Linked DNA regions of Oryctolagus cuniculus. The protein of the gene in region 1 interacts with the protein of each later gene in a pairwise test. Links are inferred from orthologs where the notes say so. Each region holds a gene or a part of one and is shown in the gene's direction. Other genes may lie near its edges.

Region 1 (5,499 bases):
GGGCCATCCTCCACTGCACTCCCTGGCCACAGCAGAGAGCTGGCCTGGAAGAGGGGCAACCGGGACTAGAACCCGGTGTGCCAGCGCCGCTAGGCGGAGAATTAGCCTAGTGAACTGCGGCACTGGCCCTCTTTGGCCATTCTTTAAAGTTGGGTGTTAGTATGCCGCTAGCAAGATTGTACACTCTGCTCAACACCTTCACCAGTGTGGCTGCTCATTCTTCGGTCTTTTTGTCCTTTTTCTTCTAAAGACAGAGGAGAGCCTGCTCCTCAAACTCCAGAGCTTTAAAGTCTGCCAAAGCGTGAGCATTAAGCCTGTGTCCCACGTTAGAGTGCATGGGTTCCACTCCTGGTTCGAGCTCCTGATTCCATTTTTGTTTTAAAAGATTTTACTTATTTGAAAGGCAGAGCTAGGCAGAAAGATCTCCCACCCACTGGTTCACTCTCCAAATGGCTGGAGCTGGGCTAATCCAAAGCCAGGAGCTTCTTCAGGGACTCCCGCGTGGATGCAGGGGCCCAAGCACTTGGGCCATCTTTCACTGCTTTCCCAGGCCACAGCGGAGAGCTGAGCAGAAATGGAGCAGCCAGGACTTGAACCGGCACCGCAGATGGCAGCTTTAGCTGCTACGTCATAGCGCCAGCCCCCGATTCAGCTTCTTGCTGAATTGATCCTGGGAGGCATTAGATGATGGCTCAAGTAGTTGGTCCCTGACACCCACATGAGAGACCTGGATTGAGTTCTCCACTCCTGTCAGGTTTTCCCAGCCCCATTTGGCAAAGGAACCAGTGGATGGGAGCTGCAGCTCTCAATGTAAAACAAACGAGGTCTTTATTGACTGTACGTTACCTATACAACCTGAACTTTCCTGCAGCGTCCCCCATAGCAGAGACCTCTAACGTTGGGGAGGCCAGGTGATCGCCCCGCCCCCAAAGATCGCGGTCAGATTTGACACTTCCGCTAAGTTCACAAGGCTCCTGGTTGGTCCAGTTTGCTCAGGGCTTTTCTTTGACTTCCCTGAACTTTTCAGAACCTGGTTGTTATTTGAAGAGTGCTTTCAGGATAAAGTCGGTGGCATTAATACACATGGGTTTATAAGGATAAAGCGTACAGTACTTTCCCTGAGACGAACCTCTGTCTAGGCCAACATTTGGCGTGATTCAGACAAGAGCTTGCTAACGCATTTTGAAGTCCAAGATGGAAAAGATGGAGAAGGATCTCAACAGAGTTCATCCAGCTCTCTCTAATGGAAGGAAGGCGCTATTAATCACTTGGTACAGGGGGAGTTTGTAGTTTAAACCAAGGGGCCCGGCGCTGTGGCTTAGCGGGTAAAGCCGCCGCCTGCAGTGCCAGCATCCCATTGGGTCACCAGTTCCAGCTCTCTGCTGTGGCCTGGGAAAGCAATGGAAGATGGCCCGAGTCCTTGGGCCCCTGCACCTGCATGGGAGCCCCGGAGGAAGCTCCTGGCTCTGAGCCCCCCTACCCGTTGGGGCCACTTGGGGAGTGAACCGGAGAATGGAAGGCCTCTCTCACTCTGCCTGCCTCTCGAATAAATAAATTAAAAAAAAAAAAAATGCCCCATGAAGGATTTCTCTCTCACTTTGACACCCACCCCCACCCAAAGACCTCATTCCTGAATACGCTGCGGCAGAAGCCACATCAACAGCTCCATTCACTGGTTCTCAGAACCTCACGAGGTGGGCACGAGTCACAAATCTGGGTTAAGCCGCTCACAGGCCGGGGACGGCGAGGGACCGCGGCGCTGGGAGACGGACTCGCGGTCGGCCCGCCCCAGCCACTGTCCCGCGCCGCGTGCCCATCTCTGCCCTCCGCCTGACACCGCACACCTCTACGACTACTCAGTTTTCCAGAGGGGTTCCTTAGGCGCTGAGCGGAGCCAACGCCGGGAGGGTCCCGCGGCTACGGTGGCGTCCACTCTCGGCCAACCAAACCTCCGCCGCCGGCAGCGACAGTTGAACCGCTTCCGCGAGCCCTGGGCGGGGCGCCGCACAATCCCTGGGCGCCCATTGGTTATTCCGTTTCCCCGCCCCCTCTGCCCGGCGCGGCCCCTCTCTCCTTTGACCTCGATTTCAAGTCATGCGCTGAGCTGTGGTTGGTGGGGCTTTCCTGAAACCTGCGCTCGATTCACCCAATGAGGAGCGAGCGTCGCGGGTGCTGTCGGGAAAGGCGGCCGGCCTATATAAGCGACCTGCGGGGCGTTCCCTCGCGCTGTGTTCACTGTGCGGGTTTCCAGCGGAGGTTGAGGTTGGAGAGGCGGCTCGGGTTCGCTGAGACGACTCTTGACGGACGATGGCGGAGGGAGATAATCGCAGCACCAATCTGCTGGTGAGTCCCGGAGGCCTGCCCGCAGGAACCGAGCTGGGCCGGCCGGTGGGCTCGGCGGGGACGGTCGTCGCGGCCTCGCTCCTGTCCCCGCCACGGGCCCGTCCCTCCTCGGCCCAGCCCGGGAGACCCCCGTCCCTTCGGGGTTCGTGGGCGGCTCCCGGTGGGCGGTGCGCGGCGGGGCGAGGAGGGCGCGTGATTAGTCACTGCGAGTGGGGGTTGAGGAGTGCGGGACGGGGGCTGCGAGGGGCCGCGCGGTGGCTTTCGGGCCTCGCCGCGGTCCTGTCCGCCTTGGATCTCACCCTGGGCGAGCGCTCGTCCTCCTCCGTCTAAGACTTGAGCGGGGATGGAGGGTCCCAGGGCCACGGCCGAGGATTTCTGTTGGAGCTGGCGCAGCTTACAAGGACAGGGAGGCTGCGAGCTCCCCATGGGGAACCGGGCCTGGGCCTGGAGTTGGGAAGGCCGGGGGCTGGGAGCTCACAGGACGGCTGGAGAGGATCCGGGGGAGCTGCAGCGAGGCCCTGCCTTGGGTGGACGTATTGGATTCGGATTTAACTGCACCGGTCCAGGCAGGACCCGAGAGAGCGTTCCAAGGTCCCAGATGTTGGCGAACTCAGAAGGGCGGCTTGCATTGGGCGTGGTTTTTTGCTTTGCGCTGCTGCTTTCTAAGAGAATCGGTGCAAGCACAGCGAGGCTGTCCAAGTCCTGTTGCAATAGCCGAGTCTCACCTGGAGCCTGGGGTCCCCAGCAGAGCAGCCCGACTGCAGGGACAGCAAGGCCTTTGACTTCCCGGGGCCGACGCTGTCAACTCCTTTGCGTCTCAGTTTCCTTATCAGCGAAACGGGGATGGCAACAACCCCTTCTTTCTAGGGCGATTGAGAGGATCAGGCGAAGTTTAAGGTTCTTGGCACATGTGATCTCTGATTTAACTAGTCGTAAGCGTGAGCGATAAAGCCAGGACACCTAGTTCTAAGGGGAAGTACTCACAGGGACGTTGGGGTTTCCTGTTCCAGTGTTTTCTCCTTTACCAAGATGAGCTTCAGGGAGTTTGTGGCCTGAGCTCGTCTTCAAGGCCCACTTTGGGATGTCAGGGCTGCAGGAACACTGGAAGTCTACCCCGAGCGACAGGAAGCGCTGTAGAATGGCACTTGTAATTTGGAAAGCTGTTTTCCTTAATTTTGCAATGGAGCCCACTATCTCAGTGCTCCCGTTACACAGAGCCGTTTTAGAAGGTGAGTGCGGCTCAGGGGAAGGCTTTCCTAATGGATTGAGAGTAGGATTGAGATGGATGAAGTGAGTGAGCTGCGGGCCAGTTCCCACCACCTGAAATGAACAAACCTGGAGTGGTCTAATCTGATTAGCACTCTGGGTGCTGCCACTGATTGCCTGTCCACGCCTGGGAAGGTTTGGAGCCCACTTGCTTTCACTGTGAAATGAGTCGCATCCCTACATTGCCAGCTCTGTAAGGGTTGAGCTCCATCATGTATGTGAGGAGTCGCCCCGTGCTTGGATTCACTACAGGGTGGGCTCTGCCCAGGAGAAGATGGCCCGAGTCCTTGGGGCCCTGCACCCGCGTAGGAGATGGGGAGGGAGCTCCTAGGCTTTGGATCAGTGCAACTCCAGCAGTTGCAGCCATCTGGAGGGTGACCCAGGGGATGGAAGACCTCTCTCTTTCTCTCTGTCTCTACCTCTCTCTGTAACTCTTTCAAATAAAATCTTAAAAAAAAAAAAAAAAACAAGGAGAGGCTTCCCCTAGCCCCCTGGTTGATTCCCATCTTTGGTACAAAATTGCAGAGTTCCTCAGAAAGGAAACTGTTGAAGATTGGAATGAGGAGGTGTTTCACCTATTGATTGGCCTTGGGAAGATGTAACTGTTAGAACCACGGAGATGCTGAGTGATGAAATGGCCGCTTTCCCTTCTGCCCCGTGTAGGCTGCAGAGACGGCGAGTCTGGAGGAGCAGCTGCAGGGCTGGGGAGAGGTGATGCTTCTGGCCGACAAAGTGCTGCGGTGGGAGAGAGCCTGGTTCCCGCCTGCCCTCCTGGCTGTGGTCTCCCTGGTGTTTCTGTAAGTGAGCCGGGGGACTCCATGGGCTGCGTGCGCTTGGTAGCGCTGAAGGCTCTGTTCAGGGCAGCACCTTAATGAAGCCTTTTGTAGCCTGTAATCCATCAAGAATGCCTTTTCTTACAAGCCGTGCTGGGTTTCCACAGTTGGTAGTACTTATGTAAGCTTGGTAACTTGACGCAGTTGAATAACTCGGTGACTCTCAAGCCTTTTGGCTCAAAACCATTACCATCTTACCATTACAATCTTAAAAAGTACTGGGGGTTTCCGAAAGCCTTTGTAGGTTGGTATTTATATCAGCCACTGCGGCTGTGACGTCATCATGCTATGAAGCCTCTGGAAACCACTGGTGAGGAAATTAGTGCCAAATAACGTCTCTGAGAACCACGGCACTGAGTGAATTGTGAAATTAAGCATCTGCAGCCAGGCATAATACTGGCTGTTTTCTAAGCTTCTTTAATTTTTTTTAACAGGATTATCTACTATCTGGACCCATCTGTTCTGTCCGGTGTTTCCTGCTTTGTTATGTTTTTGTGCTTGGCTGACTACCTTGTTCCCATTCTAGCACCCAGGATTTTTGGCTCCAATAAATGGTAAGTGACACAGTGATTTGCCGGTTTAATTTCAGAGGCCTTCCTGAACCTGGTGGCCGTGGCTACTGTGCTGTGATTAAGTGCAGAGCCTTGTCGAATCATTCAGGCGTTTTCACCTTCACCCGTGTGGTTTAAACTTACATTTACTGCCACGGGCTTTCTGAAGGTACAGTTTCAGTGAGGACTAACAAACATCTCAGTGAGCTTTCCCTAACAGGTGCACATTTCCATTTCTGTTGATATTTGAGGTGATCAGCTATTTCACAAACTATTCTTGAATAAATAGGAAAAGGTAACTGGTCGACTGTAGTCCACAGTCATGTAGTGACCAGGAGCAGTCTGCTGGGTGAGACACTTGTCTCGGTGCTGTGAAATGTTTGGACCTTTAAGTTTCAAATATCAAAAAGAAGCTTCCTCCACTAAATTGCCTTTGTCATTATGAGAAACCAATATATACTATGTTAAAAAATGCCCAAAGCATTTAAGAAAGAACTTAAACTAGT
Region 2 (5,499 bases), on another chromosome or scaffold:
TTGCAGGAAGAACCCAGAAGGCTCGTACTGCCTGAGGAAAGCTGAGCTGGAGTGGCGGGAAGGAGGTTGGAGCTGAGGGTATGACCACTAGGTGGGAATGACTGGAATTAGCAAGGTAGCTCCGTGGGCCTCGGCTTCCTCCCTTGTAACGATGTCGCCGTAAAATCACACGGGGTGGGGGGGAGGAGATGAGACTTTGCTTGGGAACACACTTGTGGGACAGATCAGCTCCTCTTCCTCTGGCTCAGGTACCTGTTTCCTCCAAGGCCACCTCCTCCTCCCCTCCCTGCCCCTCCCCACTCCCTCTGGGCCTCTGGGAGCAGAGTGAGGCATCCCTGCATATTACTGATCTAGACACATGTTGTAACCTGTCCACTTCTTTTTTTAAAAAAAATTATTTATTTGAAAGGCAGAGTTATACACACACACACACACACACATATATATATATATATAGAGAGAGAGAGGTCTTCCATCCTCTGGTTCACTCCAAAATGGGCACAACTGCCAGAGCTGCGCCGATCCAAAGCCAGGAGCCAGGAGCTTCTTCCGGGTCTCCCACGTGGGTGGCAGGGGCCCAAGCACCTGGGCCATCTTCTGCTGTTTTCCCAGGTGCATCAGCAGGGAGCTGGATCGGAAGTGGAGCAGCCTGGACTTGAACCGGCACCTATGTGGGATGCTGGAGCTGCAGGCAGAGGCTTACCCTGCTAAGCCAGGGCGCTGGCCCCAACCTGTCTACCTCTTGATGTCCCAGCAGCCAGTGAGCCCTCCTTAATAACTCCAGTGCCATGCCCAGCTCCCGGCGGAGCCGGAGTTCCATTTGTCAGTTGAATGAATGGATGAATGTGTGTAATATGGCTGTGTGAGGAATGGTTCCCCAAACCACTGCTTTTTAGGTTCCCGGAGGAGAGGTTTGCTTATGTGTTAGCACAAGTGGGCGGAATGCCCACACTTTGTCAACCACCTCTGAGGAGAGGCCTCTCACTCATCTGGGAACTGCCCAGGGGTTTTATCCAGATGAAGGAAGGCTAAGGAGAAGATCCCTCCCGGTTCCCAGGATCTGTGCCTCTGGGGTTGGATATAAAGGCCTTCGCTGGCTGCTGGGACATCAAGAGGCTGATGAACAGGCAACAGAACGCAACAGGTGCATAACAGGAGGGGCTGTCTGCTCTCGGGTTTGTCAGGAAAGGCAGAGGACGGCCTCAGAGGGATCCGGGGTGGCTCAGAAGCAGATCAGCCCCAGAGCACTTCCCATGAATACTGCCAGTCCATCACCCAGCATGTGCTATTTCACTGTGGCTTTACAAGTGAGGAAACTGAGGCCCACACAGGCTAACTTGCTAGTTAGTCCTGGAGCTGGGACTTGAACTCAGGTCTCTCCCCCTTGTAAACCAGGATACCATAACAGCTCTCTGTTTTGTACAGGAGTCTTTGAATCTCCCAGATTGCTAATAATGCTAGGTATTCAGTACGCACCCAATCAACTTGTCTTGACAATCGACAAGAAAATGAAATCCTGAAAAGCTGAACTGTAAGGAGTAGGGTGGCAATGAATCTCTTTTATTCCAGGCAAGGGCTTTTAATCCTGGGACTACAGATGGGGGGAAAGAAGCGGAAGAAACGAGAAAAACTACAATTCCCAAAAGGCTCAAAAGGTCACTATCACGCATGCGTAGATCCCGCCCCTGAAATCTGGCTCGGCGGGTAGATCTCGCGCACGCGCTCTCACATCGGGTCTGTTTCCGACCCCCTGCTACCTCGGGCCAGAGTTGGTGGCTGGACCTTCTGCGACCTGTGGTTGCCATGCTGCCCTTCTCTTTGCTCTGGGCAGTTCGGGTAAGAATGGGGCTCCGGAGGCAGGGTGACTAGTGGAAAAGAACCCCTCCCCCTTCCTAGTTCCCATTCACAAACTCTGGGGTTCTCTTGGCTTTTCCACCGCATGTGCTCATGTATGTATGTAACTAGGGAGTTCCCCGAAACCGCTGGGCACGCGAGGGGTGAGCTGGGGACCCTCGCTGTTCCAGCGTTCAGTCGCCACAGAGCCGCGTGACCGCCCACTTCACGTGGCACGAGGGGAGAGGACCGCGCCGGATGCCCTGGGGACCCTGTACTGGGGAACTAGCTGGGTTCCCGGCCCGGACCAGCAAACCGAACCTTTGCGGCCGGCTCTGAACCATGCACATGATGCAACTGAGCCCCACCGCTTGCATCAGGCAGGGGTCCAGCCAGCGGTAGTGTGGCTGGACGGAGGTGGAAAAGTTAGGGGTGAAGGGAACAGGATATGGTTTTTGGCTTCCCTTTCAGCCAAACAACTCCCCTCCCCAACACGTACCTGTAACCCAGGGGCTGCAGAGGGTCTACCCTCCCACCTCCATCCCTGGGAAAACCACCTCCACAGCCTGTGTGGACTTGGCCTGGGGTAGCAGGTCCCCCACCACCACCCCAGATGGCCCTTTTGTCCCTGTGGGCGGGCAGGTTCTAGAACCTCAGGGGCCCTTTCCTGGGTTTGGGGTTTGGGGAGTACAGACATGGAGGACAACTTTACCCTGGGACTTCACGTAATGGCTTCTGGGGTGAGGTGGAGGGAGTTTCGAAGGAGGTGAGCTGAGTGGAGTGAATCAGTACCACCCCCTGGACCTTGATCTCAACCTTGGTCTGGAACTGGCTTTGAAAGATAGAGGTGGAGGTGGCAAGAACGGGAGCCAGCTGGCTGGACCACTGGCCATTTGGTGTATGGCCAGAGGGCCGTGTGAGCCTGGCTGGGGGTGATTGGGAGACCGCCTGGGTGAGTTGGGATTGACCCTGGCTTTTCCTGCCCCCAGCCTCTGCAGAGATGTGGTCCGCTGGTCAGGACGGCCGTGCGGGCTCAGCACGGCAAGGCGGCGCAGACTCAGACTGGGGAAGCGAGCAGGGGCTGGACCGGCCAGGAGAGCCTCTCGGACACTGACCCTGAGATGTGGGAGCTGTTGCAGAGGGAGAAGGACAGGCAGTGCCGTGGCCTGGAACTCATTGCGTCAGAGGTGGGACCCTGGGAGCGGGGCGTGGAGCAGGTGCAGGACGAAAGAAGTTGTCTTAGTGAGACTTCTGGTGTCCCCTCAGGCCCGGCCCTTTCTGCTGGGCGTGTCTCCTCTTTGGACTGTCCTCTCAAACGACGACAGAGCCAGCCTGCTTAAGGGGATGTGGCATCCAGGCATCCCACAGCCTTCCAGGTCCGCTCCAGGCTCCTCCGCTTCCTCCTGCCCTCCCTGGAGGGAAGAGCAGCCTGGAGGCACGTGTCAGGGTGCACCAGGGGCCTCGCTGGGGACACGCATCGTGGCAGCTGGGGTTCTGAGAATGGTGCCTCTGGCAAGGCACCCTGAGCTCCCTGCGGGGCCCTGGCAGGGTGGGGCTGTGGGGGTCCAGAGGGAGGGACTCCGTGCCGTCTGACCTTGCCCCCCCACCACCCCAGAACTTCTGCAGCCGAGCTGCGCTGGAGGCCCTGGGGTCCTGTCTGAACAACAAGTACTCGGAGGGTTATCCTGGCAAGAGGTGAGGGCGAGGCACCCCAGGGCTGGAGGGCGACATCAGGGCTGGTGCTCCCGACGGGGGACCTACCTGGACCCTCCCGGTGTTTATCGAGGAGTGACCTTGCCAGTCCTTGGCTGCTGGCCCAGGTCCCTTCTCTGGGCCCTTATGCACGCCTCTCCTGCCACAGATACTACGGGGGAGCAGAGGTGGTGGATGAGATTGAGCTGCTGTGCCAGCGCCGGGCCCTGGAAGCCTTTGACCTGGATCCTGCCCAGTGGGGAGTCAACGTCCAGCCCTACTCGGGGTCCCCAGCCAATCTGGCTGCCTACACAGCCCTTCTGCAGCCTCACGACCGCATCATGGGGCTGGACCTGCCTGATGGGGGCCAGTGAGTATGGAGGGGAACAGTGAGGGGGCGGGATTGGGGTAAGGAAGGAGTTTTCTGCCGACACCTGCTGTTCGCGCGCCGTGCGGACGGCACAGGCTTGTCCCTGTCCCATGTGTTACTGTGGATGAGGGACGCGAGACTGGCAGCATCAGAGCCCACCAGAGTGACAGAGCAGGGCGGGCGGACGAGCGGGGAGCTGTGTTCTGGGACAGAGGCCTGGGGAGCTTGGCAGGCAGGGAGTGGCTAAGTCTGGCTCGTTCCACTCTGAGGCCCCCTAACCCTTGCTCCTTTCCCAGCCTTACGCACGGCTACATGTCCGATGTGAAGCGTGTATCAGCCACATCCATCTTCTTCGAGTCTATGCCCTATAAGCTCAACGTGAGTGCTGTGCCACAGACGGGGCTGCTCCAGCCTGGGGCTCCTCTGTCCAGGCGGTAGCAGGGGATGAGGTGGGGGGCTGGAGCCCTGGGCAGCCCTGAGGACCGGGGGGGAGAGGGAGCTGCCCTGCTGCCTCCCTAGGGCTTGAGCTGGCTGTCTGTCTCTCCTGTCTAGCCCCAAACCGGCCTCATCGACTATGAGCAGCTGGCTCTGACTGCCCGGCTTTTCCGGCCGCGGCTTATTATAGCCGGGACCAGTGCCTACGCGCGCCTCATTGACTACGCCCGCATGAGAGAGGTTGGTGGGGCGCCCCGGCCCAGAGGTTTGGGAAGGGGTGCAGCCTTCCCCTGCTGAGGCCTGTCTCCCTACCTGTCCAGGTGTGTGACGAGGTCAAGGCGCATCTGCTGGCAGACATGGCCCACATCAGCGGCCTGGTGGCTGCCAAGGTGATCCCCTCACCTTTCAAGCATGCCGACGTTGTCACCACCACCACCCACAAGACTCTCCGAGGGGCCAGGTCAGGCTTCTCTGCGGGCAGGCCTTGCCCTTCCCCGCCTTCACACCCTGTTCCTGTCCACCCAGTCTGTCCATGGTGGCCATTCCCTGGCAGGGGACGCAGGGGTGGGAAACCAGAACATCAAGCGCGGCCGAGGGGCCCAGGCCGGCCAGCTCCCTCCACCTTCCCCAGCTCAGCCTCTGATCACACACCCTGCACCCAGGTCGGGCCTCATCTTCTACCGCAAGGGAGTACGGACCGTGGACCCTAAGACTGGCCAGGAGATCCCTTACACGTTTGAGGACCGGATCAACTTCGCTGTGTTCCCATCGCTGCAGGGGGGCCCCCACAACCATGCCATTGCTGCAGTAGCCGTGGCCCTGAAGCAGGTGGGCAGCCTGCTCTTGGGGACTGGATGGGGCACACAGGCCCGAGGGCATGGCCTCTGCACCTTGCTAACTCAAGTGGGGGCTGATGGAAGGAAAGTGCGGGAGAGGCCAAGGCTGGAGTCCGGGGGCAGGCTGGGGGTGAAGCCGGGCAGGGCCACAGTTGCTGCTGTCTTACTTGCAGGCCTGCACCCCCATGTTCCGGGAGTACTCCCTGCAGGTTCTGAAGAACGCCCGGGCCATGGCTGACGCGCTGCTGGAGCGAGGCTACTCCCTGGTGTCCGGTGAGCCAGGGAGGATGGATGAGGGTTTTGGAGCTCTGGGTGGAGGCCCAGGACTCACCA
Region 3 (5,499 bases), on another chromosome or scaffold:
CGTTGGCGCCGTGGCCTTGCTGGGGCTGGGGGCTGGGGGCAGGGGTAGGGAGGGAATGTTGGAGGGGAGAGGGGTCACCCCGGGCTGCCCATATCCAGGGAGCTGCAGAGCCCTGCGGACGGAGTGTAGAGGAGGGGAAGCGTCCGTAACTCGCGGCGACCCGGGGCCCTCGGCCCTAACCAGCCTTTCACCCAGGCCGGAGACCCTCGAGGGGCAGCAAACCGAGCTGCGCCGAGCTGCAGTTGCGTCTTTGAATCCAGACCTCCCGGGCGGCCCGGCGGCCCGGCCTTTCGTGGCTGGGATGCGGGAGATGACGGAGCCGCTCCCGCCAGCCACACTCACACTGCCAAAAAGCGAGACTGGAGACACAGAGCTCGGCGGGAGGGTGCCATGTTTTTGTTTCCTTTTAGGCTTTCTCTCGCTTGCTTTCTTTTCCTGGGCCCTCTTCTTTGGCCCCGGACGGCGGCGAGATCCCAGGGCGAAACGGAGCCCAGAACAGGTACTGGGTCGTCCAAGGAAGGGCCTTGGACAGCCGCCCCCTGCGCGGCCCGCCTCTGCGCGCTTCGCTGGCTGCCTCCTTTGTGCGCTAATGACCGTAATTATGAGCTCCCTGCCTTCTTTTGTTATCTGCAACCCGGAGCGCCAGCAAGAGGGTGAGCCGGCTCTTTTGCGAAATCCAAGTCTTTACCAAGCCAACCGCTGTCTAGGCAGCGTTAAAGGAAGACAAATTGGGTATCCCCGTCTGCCTCTCAAGTAACGTGTGTGTTTATAAATAAAAAAGGGGAAAAATAGGAATAACACCGTGAGACTTAAAGTATTCGGAGCTAGGGGGTTTCATGGAGTTTAAACAGAAGCATTGTAAATCATCGCCTTACCAAAAAAATAAATAAAATAAAAATGTGGAGGGGATTTCTACCTTCCTCGTGTTTTAATCCGTTTCTGCCTCTGTGGGCGCGCGCGCTGAACGCTTGTTTTAAATTCTCGACCACTCATCCCTAGTGGAAAAGTTCCTGCTGCCTTGAAGCAAAGTATTTGCCGAATTTGGCGTGGAGTTCATCAAAGAAGCAGTCTCCCCGGCTCGTATCTGCGCGGCTGGATCGAGAGCCGCGGGGCTGCCCTAGCTGCGGCGCGCACAGCTGAGCCACGAAGTCTTTGCGTTCCCGGAGTTGTCGCCTGGCCAGCTGGAACACTTGGAGCCGGGAGGGCGGGAAAGCGGGGCCCAGCCAAAGCCTGCGTGCCTGACCGCCGCGCCCCTGCAGCCCTGCCGGAGCTGCTCCACACTGCCCGGCTCAGCGCCACGCCCTCCGCGGCTCCACCACCAGTGCGCTCCCCGCGCTCACCCCCCGCCCCAGGACGGCGGCCACAGGGCGTATCCGATGGCTCCTGCCGGATCCCCAGCACTCGGGCACGCAGGGAGAGAACAAAGCTTTGTGGAGAGCATTGGCCCGGGGACAGTGCGCTTGGGGACGCAAGCTGTGGGCCTGCGCGTGGTCCCCTCGGACCCCACGACTCCTACTCCCGAGCAAGCGTCGAGGGGTGGTAGCCGAAACTGAGAAACCGATCTGATAACTGGCTAGGGAGGTCTGGGAGAACCGCCCGCGAGCCCGAAGGAAATGAGGAAGGCTCCCGGGAGGCGCCGGCGGGCAGGTGCCGCGGGAGGCCGAACGCAGTCCTTTCCCTCCCGGGTCAGTCTCGGAGCAGCCAAGGTGCATGTCAAGTTGATCTCGGCCGCCCAGAGAAAGCAAAAAAGAACTCGGGGAACCCAGACACTCTGGGCGCATTCCCAGCGTCGGCAGCTTTTAGAAAAAAGAAATCATCGCGGAGAAAAGATGCTTTCTCCTCCTTAGAAAATGAGGAACCTCTTTCCCACCCCAGAACCTCGGAGACAGCAGATCCCACCCACCGTGAAGAGTCTCTTGGGGCGCAGGGATCGTTGGTTTGGGATCCCCTAAAAAACGAGGGCCCGGTGGATGGTGTCTTTGCTCGGATCTGGAAAGCCCAGGCTGCATAGCTGGAACCCCGCGCGCTTCTCCCCACCACGCTGCGAGCAGCAGGCGCATCCACGCCTGTCCAGCCAAGGTCACCCAGTGACCTCATCCCCCCGTCTGCCATCAACCCCGCCGGCGTTGGCCACTCTCCCCTGCTCCCTCCCAAGAAGCGTCGGTGCGTTTTATGATTTTATTCCTAGCCGGAGGTCGTCGGTGACAGACCCCAGCGTGGATTTTGAACCTGGACAGAGGGCGCGGCCACCCAGCGCGGGACTGCGCAGGAGCGGCGCGCCCCAGGACAGGCTTCGGGCTCTGCTAAGGAGCTGAAACGCGCCCACCCGTGCGTGGGCGCTGTTCCTCTACCTCCTCCTTCCGGAAGCTCGTCGTGACCGGCGCCCGATTCTGGCTCTGCGGTCGCCACGACCTCAGTACTCGCTTGGAGAAAGGCGGCGCGGGAACCGCGCTTCCTTCCACGCAGCAGGAGCCACGCAATACGCCCCTCGGGGCACCAGTGAAACAGTAGCAGCCACCTTCCACGTCCTCCCTGTTGTGTGCCCCTGGCGGAGGTCCGTGCGCGGCCGGCCTCGGTAGCACCCTGGACAGCGCGCTCTGGCGGGCGGGGGCTCACGCGCCTGCACGCCTCCCACTGGGGCCTCTGACTCAAGCTGGCGCGCGCAGTCAGCCTCGCACCCTCGCCCTCGCCCACGTCCTCTCTCCGCCGCCCCCTCAGCCATCCCCACTAAGCTCCCTCCCGGCGCCCTGTACTTTCCACTGTCCGGGTCCCCCTGACTCCTTCCCCATTGAACCTGCACGGCTTCCAAAGCGTGTCCAGATCCCTAAGCCCGACCCGCCGCGCGCACCCGCGCAGGCAGACACGCACGTTGGCTGTCCCTGTGTGACACCCACCCTCGCCGCGCGCGGTGCCCCCTCCCGCCACACACACACACACACACAACACACACAACACACATACGCACGCGCGCGCGCGCGCACCGGGCCGAGCTGGTGGCAGCTTCCCCAGCAGCTCGCACTCGGAAGCAACCTGCTCCCGGCTCGCAGCGCTGATGGCATCTCCGGGCTCCGGCTTCTGGTCCTTCGGGACTGAAGATGGCTCCGGAGACCCCGAGAACCCTGGCACAGGTACGAGAACGGGAGACGGCATGAGGCGAGATCTGCGGGTGCCCTGGGGTGTGCATGCCAGGGAGGAGAGAGGAGGCAGGGGAAGACTCCCTGCATCAGAAAACTTCCTTAGCCCTGCTCCAGGGCTAAGTCCTTGGCGGCCCCAGGAAAGACGTCCAGGAGCCTCAGGCTCCTTCATCCCCAAAGACGACGGCACCTCCAGGACACCGAATCCCGGGGGCCTGGGACGCTGGGGAGGGGCGGAGTGGCGGCTGAGAAAGTGGGGAAAATGCGAAAGAGGAAGAGGATTTTTAGGTCTGGAAACAGCATGCGAGGACATGGACATCCTGGGTGCCTAGGCGGGGAGGAGAGCTTCCTTGGCCGATGGGCATTTGGTGGGTGAGGGTGGAGGGCCGTGGCTTGGGCTCCTCCTTGCGAAACAGATGCACGGACTGAATGGAGGGCCAGCCGCGCTGCGAGGCTCCTGCACGCCTTCCGCACCTGCAGCCGCGCGGAGTCCGGGGAGGCCCCTGCAGGAGACAAGGCGGCCCCTGCCCTGACCCCGCGCGGGTTGGCGGTGTTCACACAGAACGAAATCTCACACCTGCGTCCGCGCTCTCTTTCTGCCCTCCTTGCAGCGAGAGCCTGGTGCCAGGTGGCCCAGAAGTTCACGGGCGGCATCGGAAACAAGCTGTGCGGTGAGTGCCCGGGGTCCAGGGAAGGGCGCGTTGGGGGCGGGCAAGGTCAGGCGCTTGCAGCGCGCGCGCGCCGGGTCAAAGCCACCTTCTCACCCCCGCATCCCCATCGGCTGACCGCAACCCGCGCTCTCCGCATCCTTGCGCAGCGCTGCTCTACGGGGACACCGAGAAGCCAGCCGACAGCGGCGGGAACCAGCCCTCGCGGGCCCCCGCCCGGAAGGCCGCCTGTGCCTGCGACCAGAAGCCCTGCAGCTGCCCCAAAGCGGACGTCAACTACGCCTTTCTGCACGCAACAGGTAAAACGGGCCCGGCCCCACCCACCGCGCGCCAGGTGAGACTCGGGGTCCGGGTATCTAGACCGGGACTCAGGGGGTGAGATCAGAGCGGTGTCACAGAAACTCGATTCTGTTCAAGCGACAGCCGTGTGCGAAGCTGACCCCTACAACTCCCCGTGCATTTGCACGCCCGGTCTCCAAACGCACACGCGCGCGCGTGCATGCACACACACACATCGACGCGGAAAGAGCGGGTCTTCCATGGCCCCGAAACCCTAACGTGCTGGGTTCTGCGCAGCCAGGTGCGCCCGAAGGCACTCCCCAGACACTGCTGATGTGAAAATGCGTCCGTAGGCATCTAAGAGGATTCACTGAGAAGTGACAGTTAGGATGCGCTCCTGGGAACAGACCAATGGAGCCGCGCTCTCTTGTCTAAAGGAAAACGAACAATAAGCTAGGAATTGAAATTGCAAGAATTGATGAGGAAGGGAAGAGAAGTCGTATTTCCTCTCATTGATTGCTTTCCTCTGTGAAAAGTGATCCCTTTACAGAAAATGCTCTTTAAAAAAATCGTATAATCTGTTCAAGGAGAAATTGCCCGATCAAGATACTGCCTGCGTGTATTCACGGGTAAATTGAAATGTGGCCTTTTTATTCCGTCCCTCAGACCTGCTGCCCGCCTTCGGGGGCGAGAGGCCCACCCTCGCCTTTCTGCAAGAGGTTGTGGACATTCTGCTTCAGTACGTGGTGAAAAGTTTTGATCGATCCACCAAAGTGATCGATTTCCATTATCCCAATGAGCTTCTTCAAGAGTATAATTGGGAACTGGCAGAGCACCCACAAAATTTGGAGGAAATTTTGATGCATTGCCAAACAACTCTAAAATATGCAATTAAAACAGGTATTGTCCCATTGCAATAATAAAGCTCTTTTTACATTTACGATTTGTATTGTTCCCATGACATGCTTTCCGTTTTGTGGAACTCCTGTTCTTTTCAAACGTGCAATGTTATGTCCATCATTTCAGAAATTGTCCTTAGGAGACTGATTCCAGTCAAAAGCACCTTTTACTAGCGTGATAACTGTTGATGCTTCTGGTAAAATCACAAACGCTAAGTATACATCATCAGCTTTTGTGTTGCATGTATTTGGCCACAGACATCAACCGCTGGTGTAGCAGCAGAGGCCAGTAGAAGCGACCCAAAATGGAGACAGAAAGGGGATATGGAAAGGAAAGATCAAAAGGCATGATTCAAACAAAAGCCTGAATGCTAGTGGGGTGCTGGTCCTTCCCTAGGCACAGAACCACCCAGACACTAGAATAACCACTCGGTGTCACCATCCAGCTGGAGAGAGAATTCTTTGGCTTTGTCTCAATGGCCAAGACTTCAGATCTGAATTCCAGGTTTTTCTCCACAC

Evidence for each region.
Region 2: the proteins of ARL6IP1 (region 1) and SHMT2 interact in binary tests that used the Homo sapiens proteins (3 or more experiments, as listed by UniProt). The two-hybrid records come from large-scale screens. The link is inferred for Oryctolagus cuniculus from reciprocal best matches to the Homo sapiens genes ARL6IP1 and SHMT2.
Region 3: the proteins of ARL6IP1 (region 1) and GAD2 interact in binary tests that used the Homo sapiens proteins (3 or more experiments, as listed by UniProt). The two-hybrid records come from large-scale screens. The link is inferred for Oryctolagus cuniculus from reciprocal best matches to the Homo sapiens genes ARL6IP1 and GAD2.

The regions. Positions count from the first base shown.
Region 1 is NC_091450.1:20,961,587-20,967,085, reverse strand, and holds the start of ARL6IP1 (ADP-ribosylation factor-like protein 6-interacting protein 1), read left to right. Parts: upstream 1-2,153; 5' UTR 2,154-2,307; coding exon 2,308-2,343; intron 2,344-4,272; coding exon 4,273-4,406; intron 4,407-4,876; coding exon 4,877-4,996; intron 4,997-5,499. UniProt on the Homo sapiens protein: Positively regulates SLC1A1/EAAC1-mediated glutamate transport by increasing its affinity for glutamate in a PKC activity-dependent manner.
Region 2 is NC_091442.1:59,865,699-59,871,197, forward strand, and holds the start of SHMT2 (serine hydroxymethyltransferase, mitochondrial), read left to right. Parts: upstream 1-1,708; 5' UTR 1,709-1,803; coding exon of another isoform or gene 1,804-1,836; intron 1,837-2,822; coding exon of another isoform or gene 2,823-3,020; intron 3,021-3,448; coding exon of another isoform or gene 3,449-3,528; intron 3,529-3,694; coding exon of another isoform or gene 3,695-3,866; coding exon 3,867-3,895; intron 3,896-4,191; coding exon 4,192-4,273; intron 4,274-4,447; coding exon 4,448-4,570; intron 4,571-4,650; coding exon 4,651-4,790; intron 4,791-4,992; coding exon 4,993-5,158; intron 5,159-5,339; coding exon 5,340-5,439; intron 5,440-5,499. UniProt on the Homo sapiens protein: Catalyzes the cleavage of serine to glycine accompanied with the production of 5,10-methylenetetrahydrofolate, an essential intermediate for purine biosynthesis.
Region 3 is NC_091444.1:103,723,793-103,729,291, reverse strand, and holds the start of GAD2 (glutamate decarboxylase 2), read left to right. Parts: upstream 1-2,204; 5' UTR 2,205-3,052; coding exon 3,053-3,128; intron 3,129-3,745; coding exon 3,746-3,805; intron 3,806-3,951; coding exon 3,952-4,101; intron 4,102-4,747; coding exon 4,748-4,981; intron 4,982-5,499. UniProt on the Homo sapiens protein: Catalyzes the production of GABA.